Danio rerio: one gene and its partners. The protein of the gene in region 2 purifies or fractionates together with the protein of the main gene of each other region. This does not show direct contact. Links are inferred from orthologs where the notes say so. Each region holds a gene or a part of one and is shown on either strand. Other genes may lie near its edges.

Region 1 (4,773 bases), on a different chromosome or scaffold from region 2:
ATTGAGAAGTCTTTTAAAGGAAATTAACACCTTTAATTCACAAAGATGCATTTAAATCATCAGAAGATACATTTGAATTCAGCATGAAATGGAAGTTAAGATCTTGCTAACATCTTGACACACAACTGGGGATGCAACGATTAACAAGTTTCACTAATAACCACGCTTTCATTCATCACAGCACAGAACAAAACTGCTGGCAACTAAACAAAGTTATGTCAACTGTGCAGTAGTTTAAATTTCTAAGCATGTACACCGAGGCTAATACCCATTCACACTTTATTAACTAAGGCTAATTATTTTTTTTTTTAGATGCAGTCCTTGAGGGCTGGTGTCCTGGAGAGTTTAGCTCCAACCCTAATTTAACACACCTGAATCAGCTAATCAAGCTCCTATTAGATATACTAGAAACTTCCGGGCAGGTGTGTTAAAGCAAGTTGTAGCTAAATTCTCCAGGACACCGGCCCTCCAGGACCGAGTTTGGGCACCCCTGCATCAGACAAATACTATTTATTTATTCTTACTTTTAATTATTTTTACTGCATTTCCAAACATTTAAATGCACTCATTCTGAGCGAAAAAGACTTTGAAAACATTTTAAAGTATAAATATAACGTTATACAGGGTGGCCCATTTATATGGATACACCTAAAAAAATGGGAGTGGTTGGTGATATTATTGTCCTGTTTGTGGCACATTAGTATATGTGAGGGGGCAAACTTTTCAAGATAGGTGGTGACCATGGTGGCCATTTTGAAGTCGGGCATCTTGGATCCAACCTTTGTTTTTTTTTTCAAAAGTAAGACAGTCATTTGACACTTTCTCCTGCGGTGTTGCAATCAGTGTGTGAAGAGTTTTAGAAGAGGGTTGCATTGACAATCTAACACAATGGGCAGCACATTGAACACATTTAATAAGTGGTCAGAAACTTTGAAATAACACATGAAAGAATAAATTTACGTTAAAACTAATCACACCATTGTTTTTCTTGTGAAATTCCCAATAGGTTTGATGTGTCAAATGACCCTCTTCCTATTGAAAAAACAAAAGTTGGATCCAAGATGGCCGACTTCAAAAGGGCACCATGGTCACCACCCATTCTGAAAAGTTTGCCCCCTCCTATATACTAATGTGCCACAAACCGGACGTTAATATCACCAACCATTCCCATTTTATTAAGGTGTATCCATATAAATGGCCCACCCTGTAGACATAGTTCCAAAAACATTCGCAATGTTAAAGAATAGCATAGTTCACGCACTCCAAAAAATGTTTAAACTACTTATTTAGAATGAGCTAAAACAACACAATTCCTGAGATTATTTTTGGGACGACTCAATTGTTTTAAATCAATTAACTTGATTTGTGAACTTGATTTGAAAAAATTATTTGTGTTGGGACAACATAAATTAATCGTGTGGAGCCCTGCACTTTTTACAGTGCACCACAACTTTAACGATAAAGATACAGAGGATCGATATCATTGGGATCACTTTCAGAATTATTTTTCCTCGCTAATGAATGATAAAATCCCGACAGCCAGTCAGAATCCATTGAAAATGAACACAATTCACAATTATTTATTTATTTATTTTTCTAAATTAGTTTTTATTGATTTTATAGGAACATATAACCAGTGGGAACAAAACAAGCAAATAAAAAATAAATAAATAAAAAATACACATATAAATAAATATACATATGTATACATACTTTTATAGGCAAACACATCCATTCCACACATGTATATCCATATACACACATGCATAAAAATATTAAATTAACCTCATTAAAATAAATAAGTATAAAATAAATTATAATAAAAGGTTGCCAAACATATTTTCACAATGATACATAACCTCTAGAATTACGTAAATATTCAGTTATAAATAATTATTTTGTCGTTGAGGAGAAAGCCAGCCATTTACTCCATTTCTTTCCAAAGGTTTCTAATTGTGATCGAAGTGCATGTGTCATTTTTTCCATTTCCTTTATTTCTGCTATAATTTTGAACCATTCATCTTTAGTTGGTGGCTCTTCTTTATAACATTTCTGGGTTATAGCTTTTTTACTTGTTGCCAAAAATATCTTAAATAGATATTTATTTTCCTTTTTAAGATTATCAGGAGTATCTCCTAGATAAAGTACTTCAAATGATCTAGGAATATAAGGAAACAAAAATATAATTGATGGTGTAGTGCACAATTCTTGAGCATTGACGATTCATAATTGTAATGATTTTACTGCATGTCCAAGCAATTAAATGCACTCTTGCTGACTTCTTTCATAAACTTTGAATACATTTGATTTCAAAAAGCAGTGTATTGAACAATAGCATCCCTCTCTTCCATTAAGTATCTGCACAGGTTCCAGTGGTGTCATCTCAGCGAGCGTTTGGCCTACGAACAGACAGTTTATCACCAGCGCATGAGGACCGAAATCTCTCAGGCTAAGAAGGAGACCAACTTCTACCTGGCCAGCGTGGAAAAGAGCCAGAGCCTGGAGAAACTCCGGAAGAAGAGGGCGAAGAAGGGAGAGGTCGTGGAGGAGAAAACGTGGGACTACAAACAGCGTCCTACAGAGGAGGAGATCCACCTGAAACGCTTTAAGAGCAAAGGCATTTCCAAGAAGAGCCTCCAGAAGGCGCAAGAGAAGAGCAAAAGCATCCAGGACAAAGCACAATCCAACGTATCCCTCCTGGCCAAGATCTTCAGCAGTAGCAAAGCCCGGGATTGATGCGCTGAGAACGTTCAGGTGCTTTCAGCTTTCGTTGACACCACAGAGTATAATCAAGGAGTTTTCTTGTGTATTTGAGATGCATTTTTCAGATTATTTGGCAACGTACAGATTCTAAACTCATGTTTTGCAGCATTTTTGACAGAATAGATGTAACTCACATGCAGAGTGTTCTGATTTATATATCTCAGCAGTAAAAACGCTGCACTATCATTCTGAAAAAGTCTTTATTTTCCCTTGAAAAGAAACTGAATGTCAAATTTTGTTGAAAAACAAGGCTAAAAATCTGTCATTATTAAAAAAAACGACTAATATCCCAATTGTGAATTAGGTGGGTTTTCATCAAGTTGTTAACGCTCATTCATACCAAGCACGTCACGATAACTATTAATATAATGAAAAAGATAGTTGTAAAAGTCAATCACAGTGTTAAAGAAGAGCATAGTTCACAACACTTTGACAGAACAGACATAACCCACAGTAGATTGTTCTGATTTTATATCTTTAACAGTTAATTCAATTCAGCTTTATTTGTATAGCGCTTTTACAATGTAGATTGTGTCAAAGCAGCTTCACATAAATGGTCATAGTAACCGGAATAGTTTAGCTCAGTTCAGTGCGAGTTAAAACAGTGGACTATCATTCTGGAAAAGTCTTTATTTTCTCAATGATGTCTTCTGAAACAATATTGGATTGCTGGTTCATGAATTTATACACTGATTCTGTGTCATGCCAAAGTAATTTTGTTGAAAAACAAGGCTAAAAATCTGTCATTATTAAAAAAAACGACTAATATCCCAATTGTGAATTAGGTGGCTTTTCATCAATTTAAGGCCCTTTCACACCAAGCACGATAATTATGAATATAATGATAAAGTTCTGAAAGTCATTCACAGTATTTAAGGATAGCATAGTTCAGACCACAACAACTACAACGATAAAGATACAGAAGGACCATATCGTGGGATCACTTTTGGAACAATTTTTTCAACAACCAGTCAGAATAAATTGAAAATTAAATTCTTGCTTAATTTAAACACACAGGAAACACTAGCTATGGTTACATCCCCCTATTTTATGCACATTATGAATATGCACATAAAAAAAGGTTGATGGAAACGCCAAGATGCTCATAAAATCTAAAAATACACATTACCGAGTAGGATGTGCACATAACAGAGTAAGATATGCACATAACCGAGTAGAATAAACTTTTTTGTTTGATAAGAAAAAATGTGTTTAAACTGTAATGGAAGTTCTAGCTATGTTTCTTTCTTAATATGCTAATTAAATTTATGCGCTAACTGGAATCTCGTATATAAGACATGAATAAAGCAGCGTTTCCATCCAAGTAGTCAAAGAGAGCAAAATCATCACTTCCTGATTAACTGGGGCCAAATATCAAAAGTAAAATTGGAATTTCCTGCGGTAGGAAAAGCTGCGTGAATGTTTTTCTTTATTTAATAAATGAATTTAATAAAATACTAAGCTGACACGCAATGAACGCGTGGTGGCGTTTAAAGGCGTCAGAGCATAGTCGTGGTCTGCTCTGTGTCTCAAGTCTGCCAACGTGCGTCGAGCTAGCAGATAAACGTAACAGCGGGAAAGCCATCCATACGGAGGTAAGCTGTCAGCTGGTAGCGCGAAAAGGAACTGCGACATACCGCCCCAAAGTGTTTGTATTAATGTATGGACACAGCTGATTGGTCACATGCGAGTTATTTTCGCTACATCAGAGTTTATTTGGCAACTGCATTTTTGTCTCCTATTATTCAAATTAAAACTTTCACAAAAGATCAAAACCAAACTCGAGTGAGTGTAAAAACTTTTTCAAAATGAAATAAAGGGATTTGTATTCTAAATTGGACATTTTTTCCATTATTCTTTTTTTATGCGCTACTTTAAGCGTCACTCGGCTATTATGTGTTTAACTTCCTGAAATGTGGGATGTTTTTCAGTACATTTTGTCTAAAATTGAATTGATTTGATTCAATAATTTGATTCAACAATTTGCAGTAAATGCTTTAAACCATTGAG
Region 2 (5,936 bases):
GATTTCACCATTTCCAGATGCGAAAAGCTCTCGGGTAAAAATGTTCCTTACAAACGTACTTCTGTTGCGTGCACTGTAATCCACACATGAGTCCAGCTGCGCTCTCATAGCGGGGAAATAAAAACAAAACCTTCATTGCAGCACATTAATAAACACAACACTGATGACCTGTTTCTCCAAACGATTCTTCTTCTTCCACTTGATTTGGCAACACATCGTGGCATTTCTCTGAACACTGTAACAGGTAAAAACAGTCTTAGAAGCTATCTTGCATATTAATGAAGTTGCACCGCATACACAATAGAGCGCACTGATTGGTTTGAACCAAGTCTTTCTCATGAATTAATGCTGCATACTCAAACGCGTCACATTGTACTCACCTGTACAAACATCCACTCTACATGCTGGAATTCACACAAGGATCTTATTGCCGTGAGGCAGCTTCAAAAATTTGTTTCAAAACAGAAGAACAAATTTGCTCGAAATAACGCAAAAAACAACCAAAAATTAAAAACTGCTTTTATTCTAGCTGAAACAAAACAAATAAGACTTTCTCAAGAAGAAAAAAAATATTAGTGCAAATACTGTGAGAAATTCATCACTCTGTTATACATAATTTGGGAAATATTTGAGTAAGATAAAAAAAAAAATTCACAGCAGGATGAATAATTTTGACTTATATTTGTTTGTTGCTTTTTTTTTTGGTTTACTATTGTTAAGATATTTGTACCAGGGGAAAAAACTACAACAGGAACTGGTTGTCCTTTTTATTTGTTCTTAAGAAATTAGGGTGTCAACAAGATGTCCAGAAACATTTAAAAAAGATGTGTGAAAGTTTCCTTGTTGACTTTCATGGAATCTCAATAAAGAGACACATTGTTCAATACACACTTAATCCTCTAGATAAGTGTCTGAGACAAGCAACAGCTTGCCGTCAATGTGATACACAGAGAGTTTGTTTGAAATTATTTGTCAGGGTGTTGAAATGATCCCAGAATTCCTATTAAAGCAGCAAGCCGTGAGATGCTGTCACTTCCAGTGAGTTTTACTAGGGTTAAATGGATAGTGCACCCCAAAATGAAAAATGTACTCACTGTTTACTCTCCCTCATGTGGTTTCATCATTTTATGAGTTTCTTTTTAATGTAAAAATCCAGTAACCATTGACTTCCGTTGTAGCAAATACTATGGAAATCAATGGTCACAGGTTTTCAACATTTTTCAAAACATCTTCTTTTGCGTTCAAGTTAAGGGTGAGTAAATGATGACAGGATTTTTCATTTTGAGGGACTTTCTTTTTAAGGATGTGATTTACTGGCCAAAAAATAACTGCAATGCTTATTTATTTTTTGCTGCTTATTACTTCATAAAATTGAGACACCAGGAATATAAAAATAAGTAATATAATTGCATAACTATAGTTTAAATATAATGTAATATGATTATATCATCTAATTTTCTGCTTCTAATAGAGGTATTTTTTTTCTTTTTTTTTATTTAGAAAAAGCTGAAAATGGACTCAGATGAGGATGAAGACAGCGATGATGATGACGACGACGACGACGATGATGATGATGATGAAGAAGAGTAAGAGCTCAAGTTTGTTCAGTTATAAAGTGTTTCATTGAAAGTTTTTACACGCAGTGAACTACTTCAATAAGGTTCATTTATACTTAAGTATATGACAAAATATATATAATCATAAAAACAGTTTACATGCATACAATTAAATTATACAGTTGAAGTCAGAATTATTAGCCTCCCTAAATTATTAGCCCTCGTTTATTTTTTCTCCTCAATTTCTGTTTAACGGAGAGAAGATTTTGTCAACATATTTCTAAGCATAATAGTTTTAATAACTCATTTATAATAACTGATTTATTTGATTTTTGCCATGATGGCAGTAAATAATATTTGACTAGATATTTTTTAAGACACTTCAATACAGCTTAAAGTGTTTAACTACGATTAACTAGGTTAATTATGTTAGTTAGGCAGGATAGGGTAATTAGGCAAGTTATTGTATAACAATGGTTTGTTCTGTTGACTATCGGAAAAAAAAAATAGCTTAAAGGGGCTAATAATTGTGTCCCCAAAAATGGTATTTAAAAAATTAAAAACTGCTTTTATTCTAGCTGAAATAAAACAAATAAGAATTTTTCTAGAAGAAAAAATATTATCAGACATACTGTGAAAATTTTCTTGCTATGTTACATCATTTGGGAAATATAAAAAATAAATTTAAAATTAAAAGGGGGTTTATATTTCTGACTTTAACTGTATATTCAAAAAATCATTTTAGAAATGTCAACAATGTATATTACAAATTAAAAATGTATAACAGTGTACAAAAAGTTGTAAATGTTTAAAATTTGTTTTACATTACTACGCAAATCAAATGGGCAAATCGTCTTTCATGTGTGAATCAACTTAGATTTGTGTGTGTGTTTATTCCTTTCTAAATTAAGTCTGATTACATAAATGGTTTGCCAAGTGGAGTACCTCAATTACATTGCTCTCTTTGAGGTATGATTGGTTGAACAATGACGTCTCATCTGATTTGCTAAAAAGTGATCTGTGTGAGAGTTGTGTGCTGCCTGGAAAGTCTCAAAAATATAAACAATCACAAATCCAGGGCGAATGTGAAATACAATTTGCACATTCACGTGAAAGGTAATTTATGAATACGAATTTATTTATTTATAATTTATGAGTAATATATATATATATATATATATATATATATATATATATATATATATATATATATATATATATATATATATATATATATATATTTATATTTATATTAGTGACTGTGGCTAGTAGTTTTTCAACATTACTAGCCACTCGCCATTTTCACGACCTACAATTTTGTTGTAAGGAGAATACATTTTATATGCATATATTTGATTTTGGCATGCTAAACTTTTTAATTTAGAAGTTGTGCTATGTCTACATGACTCCTTATTTATTTCACGTTTTGTGTGTTGTGTATGACCTCGTACAATGAGCATGAGCAAATAGATTTTAGTGCTGCATTGCAAATAGTTCTTGTTTCACAAGACTTAACAGGGATCAACACTACAGATTTACCTTATTATTATCTGGCTACACCAAAAAAAACAAAACTCAAAAAAAAAAAAATTCTTATCCACAAATTTAAAATAATTAGAAATTTTCAAAACAAGCCAAATATAGCTGTAAACAAACACTTTTTATTCAACAAAACTTTTCTTTAAAAAAATACAATTGACATTTTAAAAATATTTATTGTCATGTATCTAGAAGTATGAACAGTAGTCTGTACTGGCTAAAGGTCCCAGAACACCAGTTAACTACAAATAAATGGGAAGTTAATCTACTAATAAAGCAATGGTATTGTAAAGGATGATTAATATACCATAATTAATAAAACAATAACTGTAAAAGAAAGCAGGTGAAAAACATGCCATAATGAAAGGATGATCACCTGCACACGGTTAATGTTAGGCCCATTAATTAATTAATTCATTTTCTTGTTGGCTTAGTCCCTTTATTAATCCGTGGTCGTGACAGCGGAATGAACCGCCAACTTATCCAGCATGTTTTTACGCAGAGGATGCCCTTCCAGCCGCAACCCATCTCTGGAAAAAGCCCATTAATAATCTTTTCAAAGAATGGTTAAAGTGAAAGCGGCAACTGCTGCTGCTTGCACAATGACACTTTTTTTTTTTTTAAAGAATCTCAAACTCTAGCATCGTTTTTTGCATACATACACACACATGCACACACACACACACACACACATATATATATGTATATATATATATATATATATATATATATATATATATATATATATATATATATATATATATATATATATATATATATACACAGTTGTCAACATTTGAAGCTACCAACAACACCCATTCTTGTCTTGGGACAATTTTTTAAAATCTTTATTTTATCCACTTCAAATGTTAAGATCCACTTCAAATGTTCAGATGTTGAAATTAATTTTATCTATCTTTAGGGATGATGACAAACAAGAAAAGCCTGCTGTAAAGAGCCCTGTCAAATCCACTCAAAAAGTAAGTTTTCCTGCTTTTTTTGTTTAGAATATTTGGAAAAAGAAGTTTGGTACTTATGCTATATATATAAAGAACAGGATTATATTAAATAAAAATATATATTTTAACTTTTAAAATAATAGTGATTAACAGTAATGATATTTCACAATATTGGAATTACTGTATTAATTTTTTTTCTACATTTTTAGAGTTTTCCAAGACAGCAATTGTGTGATATTGTAAAACATAACAGTTTATTAATATTACTGTGTATTATTAGTTAGTAATAGTAATTACTGTTAAAAACTGTTAATAAACTAAATTATATTTTCCTAATATATTCTAAGATGCAAAACATTTGTGATGCAAAGCTGAGTTTTTCAGGATAACTCCAGGTTTTTTTATTTTCTGTTTTTATTTGATAAAAATCTTCTTTTCTCCATACTTTGAAACATGTTCACATTGCATGTTACATTTCGCCATGTTCCCACTGTGTTCCGAAGTGAACACCAGAGTGACCAGCAGGTGCCAGTCTCTTCCTGAGAGAGACTCAGAATCTTTCAGCACCTGTATTCACCCCATCAGCTTCGAGAGCACTTTATATTCTTTCCTTCACATTTTAATAACTAAAGTGTCTTTTGGTGCCATCTTTATCATCTTGTTCATATCCATTTCTCATGTCTGTTCATACTTGCTTTCTCTCTCTATGTGGAATGTAATGTAATGATCATTTTGCTCTAAACAATGCAAAAATAAGCAATTTTTACTCTAGTTTAATATATGTGTAATAATGTTTTTAGCAACGTGTCACACATAGTTGAAGTCAGAATTATTAGCCCCCCTGTATATTTTTTTCTCCCAATTTCTGTTTAACGGAGAGTTTTTTTTTTTAACACATTTCTAAACAAAATAGTTTTAGTAACTCATTTCTAATAACTGATTTATTTTATCTCTGCCATGATGACAGTACATAATAATTTACTAGATATTTTTCAAGATAGTATTCAGCTTAAAGTGACATTTAAAGACTTTACTAGGTTAATTAGGCAAGTTAGGGTAATTAGGCAAATCATTGTATAATGATGGTTTGTTCTGTACATGATAAAAATAGCTTAAAAGGGCTAATAATATTGACCTTAAAATAGCACTTTTAATAAAGCTGCTTTTACTTTATCCAAAATAAAACAATTTGGTCTTTCTCCAGAAGAAATAATATTATAGGAAATACTTGCTCTGTTAAACATCATTTGGGAAACATTTAATAAGAAAAAAAACTTCACAGGAGGTCGAATCATTTTGACTTCAACTGTATATGTAAGCTGCTGATGTGGCATTATCAGGCAAACAAATCACTTAAAGAGCCCCTATTATACATTAAAAATGGTCATATTTTGGTTTAAGTGTCTCCAACAACAGGCTGATATGCATGCTAGGTCAAAAACATTTTCATTGTCTTATATGCATTTATTTTTACCTAATTATCCCAGTGACTCCCATATTTTTTGTTCAGCGATTCATTTGTTCCCGAATCCCTGCTCAGCGTGAAACTAATCTGCGCTGATTGGGCTGACGTCAGCCTGTTGCGACTGGTCGACTGCGTTTTGCGTGAGACAGAGTGAAATGGTCAGCACGGCTTAATAACAATATTGAAGTAGTCAGAGTGCAGAGTGCATGTGTGGACATACCTGCCAACACTCCTGTTTTTCCTGGGATCTCCTGTATTTCAGGCCCATCTTAAGACACCAGCCCCTTTTTGTTAATTATCCCGGATAAATGCTGGTCCTCAGCATTTTGATACGGTCTGTGAAACCCCCGAGTCCCCAACATTGGTATAGCATGGTTTCCGCCTACATTCATTCATACCACCACAGCTACATTACAG
Region 3 (4,434 bases), on a different chromosome or scaffold from region 2:
TGACTCTGCTCTTACCTTAATAATAATGACGATAGTGTATGACTTAATATCACACCCATACTCTATGCTGCATTAGTCACAGTGTAAAGCCCTGTGAAGAACTCCAATTGATGATGATTCTTGCTCAATGAATGCTCTTCAGTGTTTGGACTCTCAGTATTGAATATTAAACCACACTGAACTGAACTTCAACTCTGAAAACTGCACTGGCACTGTTTCAATTTACTAGAACGTCAATGTTAAGCTGCTTTAACACAATCTACATTGTAAAATCCCTATAAAAATAGAGGAAAATAATTGTCTGGTAAAAATGTCTGTTTAATTTCTACGTCAGAAAGGAAAAGTCATCCTGTCAGTGTTGTTCTCCAGTATCATGCAGCCATACTGGGATTTTGTTGCAGTTTAACTCCATAAACACAACTCTAACCTTAAACTAATGATAATATAAGACTTTAAATATTGCACCCATACTCAATGTAACAGTGTAAATGTGACCTGTTAAAGACTCATATTGCAGTAAATGTTTCTTTCTCTAACTCGAATCTCGTGTATAATTGTTCCTACATGAAGGCTTTCCATATCACAACTGCCTGTATATTTTGCTTATCAGTAAGGTAAAGTCTCCTTCAGTGAGTTTCCCCAGTATCATTCAGCCATGCTGGGGTTTTGTTGCAGTTTTGCGGTGTTGAATAATTGATTGTGCTCTGGTGTGTCTCTCTCAGGTCCTCTGGCTATCAACCGCGTCCCTCTGCGTAGAGCTCACCAGAAGTTCTGCATCGCCACAAACACCAAAGTGGACATCTCTGGCATGAAGATCCCCAGAACACTGACCGACTCTTACTTCAAGAAGAAGAAGCTGAGGAAACCCAAGCACCAGGAGGGAGAGATCTTCGACACCGAGAAGGAGGTCAGATAGCTCATTTATTTACTTCTTTTATGGGTCACCATTTATTTTAATGTACAATTCTCACTAGTGCAGCGCGAAAATGTTAGTTATTACCATAATTTCATTACTTACTAATAACTTAAAACTGATCAACTAGTAACTAATGGCTTTAAACAATTATTATAAGCAAACATAGTTGATAACCTCCAGATATCTGCCATATATATATTATTTTATTATATAGCCATTCAATTCATCTGGTGACATTATTCATAATCACAAAAAAAAAAAAATATATATATATATATATATATATATTTATATATATATATATTTATATATATATATATATATATATATATATATATATATATATATATATATATATATATATATATATATATATATTTATATATATATATATATATATTTATATATATATATATATATATTTATATATATATATATATATATATATATATATATATATTTATATATATATATTTTGTTGTGATTATGAATAATGTCACCAGATGAATTGAATGGCTCTATTAGTAAGGCTTCTTTAATTTATATAGATTGGGATAAATTATTGTTCTATACAGTGCTTTGCATGAAATGTATTAAATTACGAATGTTTTATGTAGCGGATGCCCTTCCAGCTGCAACCCAGCACTGGGAAACACCCAATACACAGTTGGCGACCCCCCCCCCCCCTGATAAATAAAGGGACCAAGCTAAAGGAAAATGAATAAATATTAAATTACAAGCATATATAAATTCAACAGAGCAAAGATGTTAAATATGGTTTTCTGGAGTCTAATACAGTGTTTCTCAACCATGTTTCTGGAGGATCACCAGCACTGCACGTTTTCCCATGTCTCCGTAACCAAGCACCCCTGATTTAGATCATTAGCTTATTAGTAGAGACTGAAAGACTAATGAGTGTGACAAAGGAGACATCCAAAACATGCAGTGCTGGTGATCCTCCGGGAACATGGTTGAGAAACACTGGTCTAATAGTATTCAGGTACAGAACTTGAACAATCAAGCATAAAATAACATGGTCATTATTGTAGAAATTGTTTTAAAATACTAATGTTATTTCTTTATATTTTAATATTTAATAAATTACCATAACTATCACTTATTATAGATGCTTAAACGATTTATTGTGCAGCACCAATTCTCACTATTGACAAACCAATGATTAAGACTTTCAGCTCAAACTCCTTCTGTTGCTCCAAACTTCACACTGCTTATTAATAGTTAGGGTTATAGTTGGGTTTAGGTATCATGCAGAATCTGTGCAAATAAACAGCCATGAATATAGTCAGTTTATTCTGAGATTTAGTACTTAAACTAGTACTGTTGCTGAACTCTTTGAAAAAACACAATCGCATGACTTCTTCTTGCTCCGCATACTGTCATTTATTCATTAAATGATTTTTAGCACACCTAAATGCACCCAATCAGTTAAAAATAGTACTTGTAACTTAACGTATTTTTTAATGGCCATTTAATAGTGAGTGAACATCTACACTTTTTTTTGAGACTTTTCAAAAACCCATAGAAATGTTGATGGAAATATGGCTACTGGTTGTTTTTATTTTCCCCCCTAATGTTGTGTGTTTCTGTGGTTTGCAGAAGTACCAGTTGACGGAGCAGCGCAAGGCAGACCAGAAAGCAGTGGACTCTCAGCTGCTTCCTCTGATCAAGAAGGTTCCTCAGCTCAGGGGTTACCTGCGCTCCATGTTCTCCCTGTCTAATGGAGTCTACCCACACAAACTGGTTTTCTAAAATGCTAATAAAACGTCAACCCAGATCCGTTTCTGTGCTGCTTTGTTTCTTGTTGTCGTTTTCTCATGTTGAAGGCTGGAGGTGGAGAATTATTTCATGAATCTGTTTTTAGATCGCTAATCATTCATTTTGTTAATAAATATTCTAAAGCAGGGGTCTCAAACTCAATTCCTGGAGGGCCGCAGCTCAGTTTAGTTAAGTGTCTAGTAGTCTTGAACACCTTGATTAGCTACATCAGCTGAGTTTGATTAGGATTAAAGTAACTCTGCAGAGCTGCAGCCCTCCAGGAATCCAGTTTAAGACCCCTGTTCTGAAGTATGAAGTATTTAGCCTTTTTTTTTTTTTTTTTTTTTTTTTAAATAAAATGAGTGATTGTGTTTTCCAGCAATGGTTACAAAAACAAGTAGATTATTGAACCCCTTGGCTGTCTGTCTTGAGCATGAATGTGAAAATGATGTTCAAGCTTTGGTGGTTTTCAGAGCACAGGTTTAAGTTTGGTCTTTGATAGGTTGCATACATTCAAGATTATGAAGTGAATGTATATAAAATATGTATTAATCTAACATTTACCACACGTTTAAAGCTAATTATGAGCAAATTATCCACCATTTTAGGTTGAAACTACATCAAATACCATAGTAACATTTTGTAGTCTTTAATTTGACTGAACAGTTTAGGACGGGAGTCCAAACTCAGTCCTACATAATTTAGTGCAAGTCCAATTAAACACAGCTGAACCCGCCAATCAAGCTCTTTCTAGGTATACTAGAACCTTCCAGGCAGGTGTGTTGAAGCTAGTTGAGTTAAACTACGCAGGATAGCGACCCTCCAGGACGGAGTTTGTACATCCCTGGTTTAAGCTAAATCAATTCACTGCAGTGGTCTCGAGCTCAATTCTTTGAGGGCCACAGCTCTGTTTAGCTCCAACCCCTGTTCTAACGTATGAAGTTTTTAGCTTAATTGTTTTTCAGTGGGTTATAAAATGAGTCATTGTGTTTTCCACCATTGGTTACAAAAACAAGCAGGTTATTTAACCCCGTAACTGTCTTTTCTTAAACATGAATGTGAAAATGGCATTCAGCTTGAAGTTTTAATGGTTTTAAATGCTTTAGTGCACAGATTTAAGCTTGATCTCATACAATAGGTTGCATACATTCAAGTTTGTGAAGTGAATGTGTATATATTGTATATTATATAAAATATGCATTACCCTAAGATTACCCAGAAGTTTAAAGCTAATTATGAGCAAATCATCCACATTTTAAGTTGAAACTACAAATTCTAAAGTAGCATTTTGTGATCTTTTATTTGACAACAGTTGCAGAGCTAAATCAATCCACTGCAGTGGTCTCAAACTTCCTGCGTAACAGTGTTTAGTATTCTTGAACGCCTTGATTATTTGCATCAGCTGTGGTTGATTAGGGTTGAAGCAAAACTGCAGAGCTGCGGCCCTCCAGGAATCCAGTTTGAGACCAATGTTCTAAAGCAGGGGTGTCCAAACTTGATCCTGGAGGGCCGTGTCCTGCATATTTTATTTCCAATCCTCATTTAAACACTTGAACCAGCTAATCAAACTCTATGTTTACAGAAACTTTTTTGTTGAAGCAAGCTAGAGCTAAACTATACAGTACACCAGCCCTCCAGGAATCCAGTTTGATATTCATGTTCTAAAGTACGAAGTATTAAGCTTGATTTTTTTGAGTGGGTTATAAAATGAGTCACTGCGTTTTCCAGCAGTGGTTACAAAA

The links. Proteins that work in one complex are often made in the same cells at the same time.
Region 1: the proteins of npm1b (region 2) and abt1 purify together in Homo sapiens (co-immunoprecipitation; 3 studies listed by BioGRID and IntAct, with this or other methods). This does not show direct contact. The link is inferred for Danio rerio from reciprocal best matches to the Homo sapiens genes NPM1 and ABT1.
Region 3: the proteins of npm1b (region 2) and rpl6 purify together in Homo sapiens (affinity purification with mass spectrometry; 4 studies listed by BioGRID and IntAct, with this or other methods). This does not show direct contact. The link is inferred for Danio rerio from reciprocal best matches to the Homo sapiens genes NPM1 and RPL6.

Annotation. Positions count from the first base shown.
Region 1 is NC_133183.1:10,036,810-10,041,582, reverse strand, and holds the end of abt1 (activator of basal transcription 1), read left to right. Parts: exon of another isoform or gene 1-250; intron 251-456; exon of another isoform or gene 457-577; intron 578-2,355; coding exon 2,356-2,736; 3' UTR 2,737-3,056; downstream 3,057-4,773.
Region 2 is NC_133189.1:6,154,203-6,160,138, reverse strand, and holds part of npm1b (nucleophosmin 1b), read left to right. Parts: intron 1-1,500; coding exon 1,501-1,586; intron 1,587-4,017; coding exon 4,018-4,075; intron 4,076-5,936. UniProt on the Homo sapiens protein: Involved in diverse cellular processes such as ribosome biogenesis, centrosome duplication, protein chaperoning, histone assembly, cell proliferation, and regulation of tumor suppressors p53/TP53 and ARF.
Region 3 is NC_133183.1:3,721,904-3,726,337, reverse strand, and holds the end of rpl6 (large ribosomal subunit protein eL6), read left to right. Parts: intron 1-722; coding exon 723-907; intron 908-2,533; coding exon 2,534-2,686; 3' UTR 2,687-2,717; downstream 2,718-4,434.